Oryctolagus cuniculus: one gene and its partners. The protein of the gene in region 3 interacts with the protein of the main gene of each other region in a biochemical or structural test. Links are inferred from orthologs where the notes say so. Each region holds a gene or a part of one and is shown on either strand. Other genes may lie near its edges.

Evidence for each region.
Region 1: the proteins of LRP1 (region 3) and PLAT form a complex in vitro, tested with the Homo sapiens proteins (2 studies listed by BioGRID). The link is inferred for Oryctolagus cuniculus from reciprocal best matches to the Homo sapiens genes LRP1 and PLAT.
Region 2: the proteins of LRP1 (region 3) and LPL form a complex in vitro, tested with the Homo sapiens proteins (3 studies listed by BioGRID). The link is inferred for Oryctolagus cuniculus from reciprocal best matches to the Homo sapiens genes LRP1 and LPL.

Annotation. Positions count from the first base shown.
Region 1 is NC_091433.1:92,381,217-92,384,861, forward strand, and holds part of PLAT (tissue-type plasminogen activator precursor), read right to left. Parts: coding exon 3,478-3,645; intron 3,092-3,477; coding exon 3,006-3,091; intron 2,455-3,005; coding exon 2,259-2,454; intron 2,145-2,258; coding exon 2,008-2,144; intron 1,849-2,007; coding exon 1,708-1,848; intron 1,171-1,707; coding exon 1,004-1,170; intron 1-1,003. UniProt on the Homo sapiens protein: Converts the abundant, but inactive, zymogen plasminogen to plasmin by hydrolyzing a single Arg-Val bond in plasminogen.
Region 2 is NC_091439.1:2,934,874-2,938,518, forward strand, and holds part of LPL (lipoprotein lipase precursor), read right to left. Parts: intron 1,450-3,645; coding exon 1,270-1,449; intron 105-1,269; coding exon 1-104. UniProt on the Homo sapiens protein: Key enzyme in triglyceride metabolism.
Region 3 is NC_091442.1:59,783,426-59,787,070, reverse strand, and holds part of LRP1 (prolow-density lipoprotein receptor-related protein 1), read right to left. Parts: intron 1,192-3,645; coding exon 1,069-1,191; intron 1-1,068. UniProt on the Homo sapiens protein: Endocytic receptor involved in endocytosis and in phagocytosis of apoptotic cells. Required for early embryonic development. Involved in cellular lipid homeostasis.

The DNA of each region.
Region 1 (3,645 bases), on a different chromosome or scaffold from region 3:
CCACTTCCAGTCCAGCTCTCTGCTATGGCCTGGGAAAGCAGTGGAGGATGGCCCAAGTCCTAGGGCCCCTGCATCCACATGGGAGACCTGGATGGAGCTCCAGGCTCCTGGCTTTGGATCGGCCCAGCGCTGGCTACTACGGCCATTTTTTTTTCTTTTTTGACAGGCAGAGTGGACAGTGAGAGAGAGACAGAGAGAAAGGTCTTCCTTTTGCCGTTGGTTCACCCTCCAATGGCCGCCGTGGCCGGTGGGCTGCGGCCGGCGCACCGCGCTGATCCGATGGCAGGAGCCAGGTGCTTCTCCTGGTCTCCCATGGGGTGCAGGGCCCAAGCACTTGGGCCATCCTCCACTGCACTCCCGGGCCACAGCAGAGGGCTGGCCTGGAAGAGGGGCAACCGGGACAGAATCCAGCGCCCCGACCGGGACTAGAACCCGGTGTGCCAGCGCCGCTAGGTGGAGGATTAGCCTAGTGAGCCGTGGCGCCAGCTACTACGGCCATTTGGGGAGTGAACCAGTCAGTGGATGGAAGATCTTTCTGCCTTTCAACCAAAAAAAAAAAAAAAAAAAAAAAAAGCACAGAGAATCCAAAACAGTTTGCTTCCCCAGGTACCAGGGTGAAATAGGAGTTTCTGAAACTCATTTCCTACCGAGCACCTCAACTCTGTGTGCTACTACACTGCTCCCTCTTTTGCCCTCTGCCAAGCTGACTCCATTCCCTGGCAGCCCCAGAAGTCGAGAGCTCAGCATCGCGGTGCTCCGGTCATCAGTTCAGTGAGCACCTGGCCGTCTGTGCTTACAGGAAATCCTGCAGTGGGCGGAGCTTCCTGTGCAGACGCGGGATGGGGGCTGGGGGGGGGGACCTTCCGCGCTTTAGAATCCTGAGTTTAGCAGGCTTCGATCCTCCTCCGAGGGCTTTGTTCTCTGAGGCCCTCATCTGGCATCCCCAGGGAACTCACTCCTGGCTGGCTGCACCTGTCCTCCCAGCCGCCCCCGCCCCGCTTACCTGGCAGGCGTCATGCAGGTTCACCTGGGCCCCCCCACTCCGCGTGTCTCCAGCACACAGCATGTTGCCCGTGACGGTTCGGTTCTTCAGCTGCTGGGGCGTGCAGCGGCTGGAGGGGTACAGCCGGACGTGAGCCTCCTTCAGCTGCTCGGAGAAGACAGGCGAAACTGCAAAGACACCCGGGGGAAATGCCTGGTGGTTTTCAGGGAAGCGTAGCCAACGTTTCCTACAAGAGCTAACCAAGCGTTTACACCTGTTGGGTGGAGTCGCAAACCACTGCCAGGACTGTCGTTTGCACCCACAGCTGCCTCATGGCAGCGCTGTTTCTGGGCCAGACAGTAGGTGGTGGGGGTGGGAACATCACCCCAGGGGAGAACCACAGGCTCCCCCTGCTACCATCTCAGCTAAGCCTCATCTTGGAAGCAGACAGCCAGGCCCTTCTTCATCCCACCAGTGAGGAGACTGAGACTTGGAGCCGACTACTGTAGAAATTCATGTCCAGGCTTACGTAGGGTTTGAACTTGGGTCTGCACAAGGCCATCATCCCCCACCCCATAAGCCTCAACCACCTCGTGCTCTCTTAATGGGCACAGCGACCCCGTGTGGTAGAGAGGGCGGACGCAGGCGCTTGCTGCGCACGCGCACTGGGCCTGCCTGGTCGCCCTAGCAGACACAATGGGTGCGGGGCTTGCCGGCGCACTTACACTCCTCGTGTTTGCCATAGCCGGACAGCTCGCACTCTGTCCAGTCGGGCAGCTGCAGGCTGGCGTCGGGCAGGCAGACGAGGCGCACGGCCTGGCTCTCCTGGGCACAGGATCCTGAAGTGGATTTCAGCTTTAGCAGCGCTGGGGGCAATGGGAAGGGAGGAGGAAAAGGATGAGCCGGGGGCGGGGCGGGGAGGGGAGATTGGGGGGGTGGGGAGCGGCCTCCCCTCGGCTGGGGGTTGGATTGGGAAGGAGGAGGAGGAGCGTGTGTGGACACAGCCTGCACCGTGGGCATCGTACCGATGTCGTTGTCGTAGGTGCCTTCATCAAATCTCTCATGCAGGATGGGCTGTTCCACTTCGAATATCTGCTCCTCCTCTGCCGACACCAGGGGGTACGTTCTGCCCAGGATCACCCTAAGTTTCTGCTGTGGGAACCTGACGGAGGGACAGCCTCAGGAAGCCAGCTCCAGGCAGGTGCCCGGTGCCAAGACCTGGGACAGGAGACAAGACGGTCTCCTGGGGGAAGGGGCGGGTGCCGGGCCCACCTACCTCTCCAGGAAGCAGTGGGCAGCAGACAGAACCCAGCAGGAGTTGATCAGGATACCCCCGCACAGAAACCGCTCCCCGGGCGACCTCCTGTTGTTGGTGAAGATGGCCGCCTGCCAGGGGTGAGCGGTGATGTCGGTGAACAGCCCCCCTTTGATGCGGAACTGGGGCTGCTTGTCCTGTCGCAGGCCACAGGTGGCTGGGGAGGAAGGGATGAGAACGGAGGTGAGGGCTGTGGTGCCCAGCGCGGTCTTCATGGTGAGAAAAGTCAGTCTGCCACGCATCACGTGTGCCTTCCTGGAGGAGGAAGCCGCCAAGGGCCAGGGAACCCAGCTCGCACCCGCGTCTGGAGGACTCCAGCTCTCGGGGTGGGGGGCTTCCTCCCTCTAACTTGTTCCTGCAGCCGGGAGGGGCTGAGGCAGCTTCCTTCGGAGGGACGGCCACGCCCCTCCTCGTTCTCCACCTATGGAACCCTACCTGTCGTGCAAGGCACAGGTGAATTCCAGGTCTTCGCAAAGCTTTTGGAGTGAGCCTGGGGCTACGGTCCCTGAGGACCCACCATGAGTGCCCTAGGTTGCAAGTCCTCTGCCTTCCCATCCCCGGTCCACCCTGTGTTCCTTGAGGAACGTTGCAGGCCATCTGCAGGTTTGCGGGAGCTAAGGCCATCTCCCGAGATGGCCAGGAGAATGGGTGAAGGCGGCTTGTTAGCCAGGAGCCGCATCAGTGAGATGGGCCCGCGCCAGCCCTTACCGCACTGGGGCACGTCGCAGTACTCTATCACCAACTTGCGGTTCTTCAACACGTGGCACCAGGGCTTGGAGTCTCCGTCTGGGTTCCTGGAGGGTAAGGGAAGGAGGAGGTGGAAGTTTTCCATCGCAGCACAGGGAAGAGGACAAAGGCTCCGCAAACCAAACCTTTGGCCAGAAGCAGAACCGGGGACGGGCAGACCCCACCACGTTCTGCTCTCACAGGCGCCGGGAGCGCTTCTGGGAACGAACGCTTTCAGTCCGTAGAATCAAAGCAGTGGGGGAGGAGTGGACAGCTAAGGACGGAGTGGTTATGGCGGGCTGACCAGGAGCCCGGGGTCTTGGCTGGAACACTGCTGTGCCTTGCTTTTCACAGCAGGTGTGACTAGCAGGTGCACAGGCTCCTACCCGCCCGCCGGCTATTTTGTCAGCCCCCAGGCCCTGACTTCTCCCAGTGCACACCCCAGGCCACGCACCTGCAGTAATTATGCTTGCCCAGGCCCAGGGCCTCTGCGTTGCTCTGCCGCGCTGTGTACTTCTCGCCCACCAGGAGCATGGAATTCCACGGGAGGCACGAGGCACCCGACGTGGTGAGGCTGTGGGTGCCGCGGTACGCTTGCCCCTTTCCCAAGTAGCAGTTCCCA
Region 2 (3,645 bases), on a different chromosome or scaffold from region 3:
CTGTTGACTTTCCTGTTGGTCAGACTTCCAGCAATGCCAGCAGCGTGAGCCCCCAGGCTATAGCCCAGGAGGTGGACATTGTCCAGGGGGTAGTTAAATTCCTCCTTTGGAAGAGAAGAGGGGGAAAAAGGAAGTGTTGTTATTCCTCAACAAAGATTAAAAGCTAAAGATAGACAATGCATATAGACACTATTCTCAAAATATAGGCAACGCTGAAACACAATTTCACTTATTTTAATTTTCTATTACAAGTGAAAGAGAGATCTGTATTTCTAGTGCTGGGATGTTCTCTTCTTTAACATTAAATTTAACTCAGAAAGTGTTTTCATATGTTGGAAATTATTTTCTTTACAATATGTGTGTGTGTGTGTGCATATGCAGGTCTGTGTAGAGTATGTGTGTGTGTGCATACACACCCCTGTAGACGTGTACAAAGATCATGAACTTAACCCCCAACTCACTCTTCTAAACACACTGCACCACTTGACTCTCCAATGTTAGCCAAGAATAACTTACAATGGAAGGAGGTCAGAGACACTACTCAGTCTATGGGGAAAAAATAGAATTAGAGAATAACTTTTTTTTGTGCAAACAATTTTTGAAATCCACACATCATTTCTTCATAGTACACATTTCCATGAGCTTTTAAAAAGCCCCTTGTATGCATGGATTTCAAAAACTTTCTGTTCCCCAACCAACTTCCCTTCAGAGTTCATTTTCCATGCACTGTTTCAGGCCTCACCCCCCTCACCCCCCAGCACAGCCTCCTTAATTAACAGGCTATGGTCCTTCCAGCTCAATCCCATCATCCCCCAGCACCAGCAAGAATCTGAGTCTTTAATCCACCCTAAGGAATAAATACTACTAATATTGTTGTCAAAACAGTTGCTGCTCCAACAGGAGTCAAAGCCAGGCTACAGTCTCCACGTGCCGGCCAACTGGCGGAAAGGACTTGGCCCAGCGTGCCTCCTTCCCTCTGTTTTGAAGTAACAAGCTCTTTCTCTGTTCTGCCCACTTAGTTCTTGGTCTCAGCAGATCTATTCACTGCACAAAATAGCAAAGGACAGGGCAGGGCAGGACAATTTGCTGGCTTTGGAATCTTTTCATTCTTCTCCAAATGCTGCTTCAGGCTTACACACAAGGCTGTGCTCCCAGTGAAGATGGGAATTTACTCCAGGGCCTACAGCTAAGTGCAAAGGGTCGTGGCCAGCCTCGTATCTCACCCTAGCAAAACCTCTGGACACAGCCCACCCTGTCTCCCACTCTTACCTCCATCCAGTTGATAAACCTGGCCACATCCTTTCCCACCAGCTTGGTGTAGCCTGCAGACACTGGGTAGTGCTGCTGGGCCCGTAACAGCCAGTCCACCACAATGACGTTGGAGTCTGGTTCTCTCTTGTACAGGGCGGCCACAAGTTTCGGCACCCAACTCTCATACATGCCCGTCACCTGAAGAGGGTGGGACAAACTTTCTTAAAACACCCACCGGCAACACAGCACACACCCCTCAGCCCGATACACCTACATTAAACGGAGAAAACACACCTGCAAGGAAGCCCATTGCTCAGAAAGAAAAAGCCAGCCCCAAATGATAATTTGTTTTCAGACTTGTGCCTGCCCGTTTGAGATAGATATGCATGTGCCACAAAAGGGGTGTGTTGGGTTCAGGAATGGCAGATTTCATTTTGCTTTATTGTTAAAGATTTATTTATTTATTTGAAAGGCAGACTACAGAAAAGGAGACAGAGACAGAGAGAGAGCTCTTCCATCCACTGGCTCACTCCCCACATGGCTGCAATGGGCTGAGCTGGGCCAAAGCCAACAGCCAGGAGCTTCATCTGGGTCTCCCATGTAGGTAGCAGGGGCCCAAGCACTTGGGGCCATCTTCTGCCGCTTTCCCAGATCATTAGCAGGGAGCTGGATTTGAAGTGAATGATACAAGAGGAAGTCATACTGCAGTCACAGCGGGGTCACTCAGTTATGTATTAAATCAAGGAGAAGATTCTGAATCCATGTTTCTAGGCAGGCACCTTTGAAGGGGAGAAGTATAGAAGCTGGACTGCATTTCATGAAATTCAATAGAAACATATGGGTGGGATTCCCATTCCAAGGGGCTTCCTTTGACACTGGATCTCCTACGGTGGATCTGTCAGACGCAGGCTCTTGCTGTTTGCTTAGCAGACTAAACCTATGAAAGCAGAGCTCAGTTCCACTCCCATCACAGAGCAAATTGCACACTTTTGTATCTCATTGCTTTGCTCTGTGGCAGAAAAAAAGCAAATCCAAGACCGAGGTGATCTAGGTTTCCATCCAAGGCCCCCACCAATGATTTCTATAAACGTAGGCTCTGCTGTAACCTGCCCAGGCCACCTATAAAACAAAACGGGTTGGGTTCAGAAGATCTTGAAGTTCTAGTCCAACCTCCTACATTTCTGCGTGTGATCATTCCGGTTCCCAGCCTACTTGCAGAGATAAAATGCTGGCGGACAGCTGTTCCAAGCATGGGCAGGCTTTGTGATGAGCAGGTTAAGCCATCCCTTTGGCACACCCGAATTCCACACTGGAGGGCCAGTTCAAGTTCCAGCTCCTCTGCTTCCAGTCCAGGTTCCTGCTAACCGCACCCTGGAAAGCAGCAGGTGATGGCTCAAGTACTTGGGTTCCTGCCACCCACGTGGGAGACCTGGATTGATTTCAGGCTCCTGGCTTCAGCCTGGCCCAGCCCCAGCTGCAGCTGGCATTTAGGGAGTGAAACAGTAGACGGAAGATTGCTCTCTCTCTCAAGCGTGCGCTCTCGCTCTGTCTTTCAAGTAGATGAAAGTAAATAGGCACCAGGAGGAAAACCAAAGACGACGAAGCACAGGGGTGATGCAAGCTCCTTTGAACGCATCTCAGGGAGGCAGCTGCAGGTCTGGAAGCAAAGTGGTTTCGCAGGGAACTCAGCAAGCGCAAAACCCAGAAGGAGTGGCCCTGGCCCACTCTTTCCTCCCTCCCCAGGTTGGGACACCAGCTCCCGTTTGCAGTTGCCTTGAAGACCAAGGGCAGATGACCTCATGGCTTCAAGAATGCAACATCCAGTGCTCCTCCTACTCCACAGTGAAAAGGCTGGGCTTGCGGCGATTGAAATCCAAGCGATGGCCGCATCGACACCGACACCGACCACGTGCTGAGCAGTGGGCAGGGGGCTTCTCACTTCCCTTCACCTGTGTGTTTGCATCCCAGCTCCACACCGCAATAAGGCAGGGGGGTCCTGTCAGCCTGAGGCCCCACTTGTAAGCTTTCTATGCTTTCAGAGTTCCCCGGTCAGGCGGGCTCTGGGGGCCAGTCTCCCAGCTTCCACTCACGGTGACTGATACCCGGATTGATGGCGTTAGCAACTCATCTAGCTGCTCCGTCCATCTCTGATTCAACACCAAGTACGGATGTTAGGAACCCCAAACAAAGGGGTTGGAGAAGCCAAGCACCACCCTCTTCAACTCAGGAGAGGTCTTAATTTCTACATTTTTCATCTGAGGCTCACTCAATCTGTGCTGATTTAAAAATTGTTGATTCCCAGACACAAAACTGAGCCACAGGCCCATGGCCCAGGCCTCAGAACCTCAGGCCAGGCCAGCGTGGGGGGCGGGGGGAGAAAGGCAGGGGGTGCCT
Region 3 (3,645 bases):
AGATGTGGATGGAGTTCCAGGCTCCCGGCTTCAGCCTGGACCAGCCCTGACTGTTGTGGCCATTTGGGGAATGAAATAGTGGATGGACTTTCTCTCTTTCTCTCTCTTCCTCTCTGTGTAATTCTGCCTTTCAAGTAAATAAAATAACTCTTTAAAAAAAAAAAAGAAAGCAATGTGGAGGGGTGACGGTGGCCTTAGGCAGGAGGAGACTCCAGGCCAAACACCCCAGCCCCTTCCTCCAGGGCACCATGTGGGAATGAGGTTGAGGGAACCAGTGGCTCCCTTTCCGGCCCTAAAATTACCGCTGATAATTACGGGTGGGGGTGTGGGGAGAGGACAGGGGATGGGACTAGGGCAGCAAGAAGCCCGAGAAAGAAAACAGAGACACTGACGCAGACCTATGGATGCAGCGGCGTCCAGACCCTGGCCCAGATTAGCTATGTGGGGGAGTGGCTGGGAGGATGAGACCCCAGGACCTTGCCAGCTGCCCTGACTCTGAGGTCCTGCCAGAGATTCCTCCACCCCCCACTGGCAGGGGAAAGCCTGGGTGGGGACCTTTCTCCCAGTTTAAACAGCTGCCTCTGATTACACCACTTATTGGGGGCAGGGGAAGGCCGGGTGGCGGGAAGCGCATAAGGGGTGGGGCTTCTGGTACAGAGGCTGAGCAAGAGCTGTGGCCTTTGGCCTGGGAGCCAAAGACAGAAGGGACCGGTAGGACCTGGGGCCACTTATCAGGGGTCAGGGAGGCTCACAGGTGGGAAGAAGGAAGGGAAGCCAGGCCACCTCCCTCCAGCACAGCTGTCAGCCCACAGAACAGAGCCCCTGGCAGCCTTGGGGGTGTGGCAGCTGGCTGGGGGAGAAGTGAGAGGTGTCCTTTCTAAGCACCCCATGCAGCACACCGGGCACCTGGAAGAGGGGGAGAGGACAGTTTTAGCTGTGTCATGGACAAACACAGCACGGAGCAAGGTCCACGCCGAGCCGGAGAGCAGCTGTACCGTCCCAGATACCTGCCAAGGGGAGAGGAGTCAGCAAAGGGCCAAGGCTCGGGGATCCCCGGCTGGCACTTACAAATCTCAGGGGCCTCATCAGATCCGTCAGGGCAGTCCCTCTCGCCATCACACCGCCAGCCCTTCGAGATGCAGGTGATCTGGTCTCTGCAGGCAAACTGCTTGGGGCTGCAGGTCTTAGGGGCTGGGGGTAAGAAAAGAAGAGAGGGGGTGTCAGTGAAGGTGGAGGCTGGCTTTGTGGCCCTGAAGCTCCCCAGGCTCCCCCTCCTGCCAGTATGGTCCCCATCCAGCCGGACCTGAGCCACAGCCTGGGCCTGGGGGAATGGTTGCTATTGGATGCTATGTATCTGTGCAGGGGGCAGCCCTCCCCCACCCCGGGCTGCCTCTCTGGTCAAGGCCCTTGCTGTTTGCAGTCACTCAGGTCATACATCGGCCTCCCCCGCCCCACCCCTGGCAACGTGAGGGGGTCACTTAGGCCTTTGACATGTTTTCTTCTTATCTCCCCGCCACTCCCACTTAAAAGGCCTACAGCTGGTTTTTCTCTTTTGAAGATTTATTTATTTGAAAGCCATAGTTACAGAGAGATGGGGCGGGGGTGGGGGAGATCTTCCATCCACTGGTTCACCCTTGAGATGGCTGCAACAGCCAGGGTTGGGCCAGGACACATCCAGGAGCCCAGAACTACATCTGGATCTCCCTCGTGGGTGCAGGGGCCCAAACACTTGAGCCATCTTCTGTTGCTTTGCCAGGCGCATTAGCAGAGAGATAGATTGCAAGTGGAGCAGCCAGGACTTGAACCAGTGCCCACATGGGATGCTGGTGTCACAGGAGGCGGCTGAACTCTCTGCACCACAGCACCGGCCCCCAGAGCTGGTCTTTTCTAACCTCCTAGGATGCTGGTCCCTTGACCCATCACCCCACCTACCCCAAACTCTCATCAGCAGGCCCCCAGACCGGAACTGTCACAGTCTGCAGAAATGTGGAGACACACAGGTCTAGGAGGGCAAGGTGAGGCAGGGCTGGGCAGGTCAGGGCCGAGAGTCCTGCTTCCACCTCCATTCTCCAAGGACACAGCCTCCCTGGCTGCTCACACCTCAGGGAGCACTTTAAGAAGATGTTTTCAGACACAAGAGGCACTGGAGAATTGCTCAGGATGATGGAGTTGGAGGGCAGAGGCAGGGGGACAGCTGGCATGACCTCTCGGAGCTGGCTTCAGCCCAGCCCACCTGTGAAGTTTCTGTATCCAGGACCTCTGACCTAACTCCCACCTCCTGCCCCCAGCCTCTTTCCTCTCCTATCCCATTTTCTTACCTCATTCCCCAAGGAGCAATTGAGAATGCGACCAGCCAACTTCTTACTATGGTGGTATCGGTATGTGCTGGCAACTGGTAAACCAGTTCCCTCCACATACCTTCTTTAATCCTCTCCACTGTGTGATAAAGGAGGGGCAATGAACACCTCCACTTCCCAGAGGGGGAAACCAAGCCTGATGACTTGCCCTGAGTGACAAAGCTGATGACAAAACCAGGGCTCAGGAGCTGGCGTTGGGGTGCAGCGGGTGAAGCTGCCACCTGAGACAAGAACACCCCACGTCAGAGCACCAGTTCAAGTCCTGGCTGCTCTGCTTCTGATCCAGCTCCCTAGTGCTCCTAGGAAAGCAGCAAGAGATGGCCAGAGTACTTGGGGCCCTGACACCCACAGGAGAGATCCAGACAGAGCTCCAGGGTCCTCGCTTCAGCCTTGCCCAGTCCCATGGGCCATCTGAGGAGCGAACCAGGGTACGAAGATCTTTCTCTCTGTAACTGCCTTTCAAATACATTAGGAAATCTTAAAAAACAAAACAACCACTGCTCAGACTGGTGCAGCTGACTCTAAGCTCTCAGCCAGCGTGGTCCACACCAGTCTCCCCTTCCCACTGAGCCGTTCTGCCCCCTCGACCCACACCAGGGCTGGCTTCCCAGCCTTCCAGTCCCTTCATGGTTCTTCCTTGGCCTGTGTCAATTCCATTTCTATTCCGCTGGCTCACGCTGAAGGCCAGCTCTGTGCCAGGCCCCGCACTAGGCACCAGGGTGCCAAGGAAGGGCGAGAAGCCCCCTCCCCTGCTCAGAGCCACAGCCTTCTGGGAGGAAAGGCAGCTGGCCACACCTAAGGGGAGAGCAGGCTGAAGGCAGATGCCCAAGGCAAGTACATCAGGCCTCCGAGTGCAGAGGGAGTCTGACGGGGGCCACTCGGAGATGTCCTCCCTCCGGAGCCCCCATCTCTGGCAGAGGGGACAGCACTCAGGCCCCTGGCCAGAACGAGAGCCAGAGAGCTGACTTCAGGAAACACATCAAGGATGGCCTGGCCAGGCCCCCCCAATGGCGCCCCCCCTTCTTTGCCCCCCCAAGCCGGGAATAAAGGCCCCTTGAGGAGGTGGATAATGCTGAGTTCATTGCCCCACTGGGCCAGCTGTGAGGTCTTCCCGGGAAACTCAGCCGCCAGCCTAGTTAGCATGCGGGGGAACCATCCACTTCCCCTGGCCAGCCGGCTAGCGGAGAGGGGGCTGTACTGGGACTCACAGGCAGATGGGGTGTTTGGAGCCCAGAAATGGGCCCCCATGACACCCCCAGACCCACTGCACTTCTTCCCTCCCCCGGCC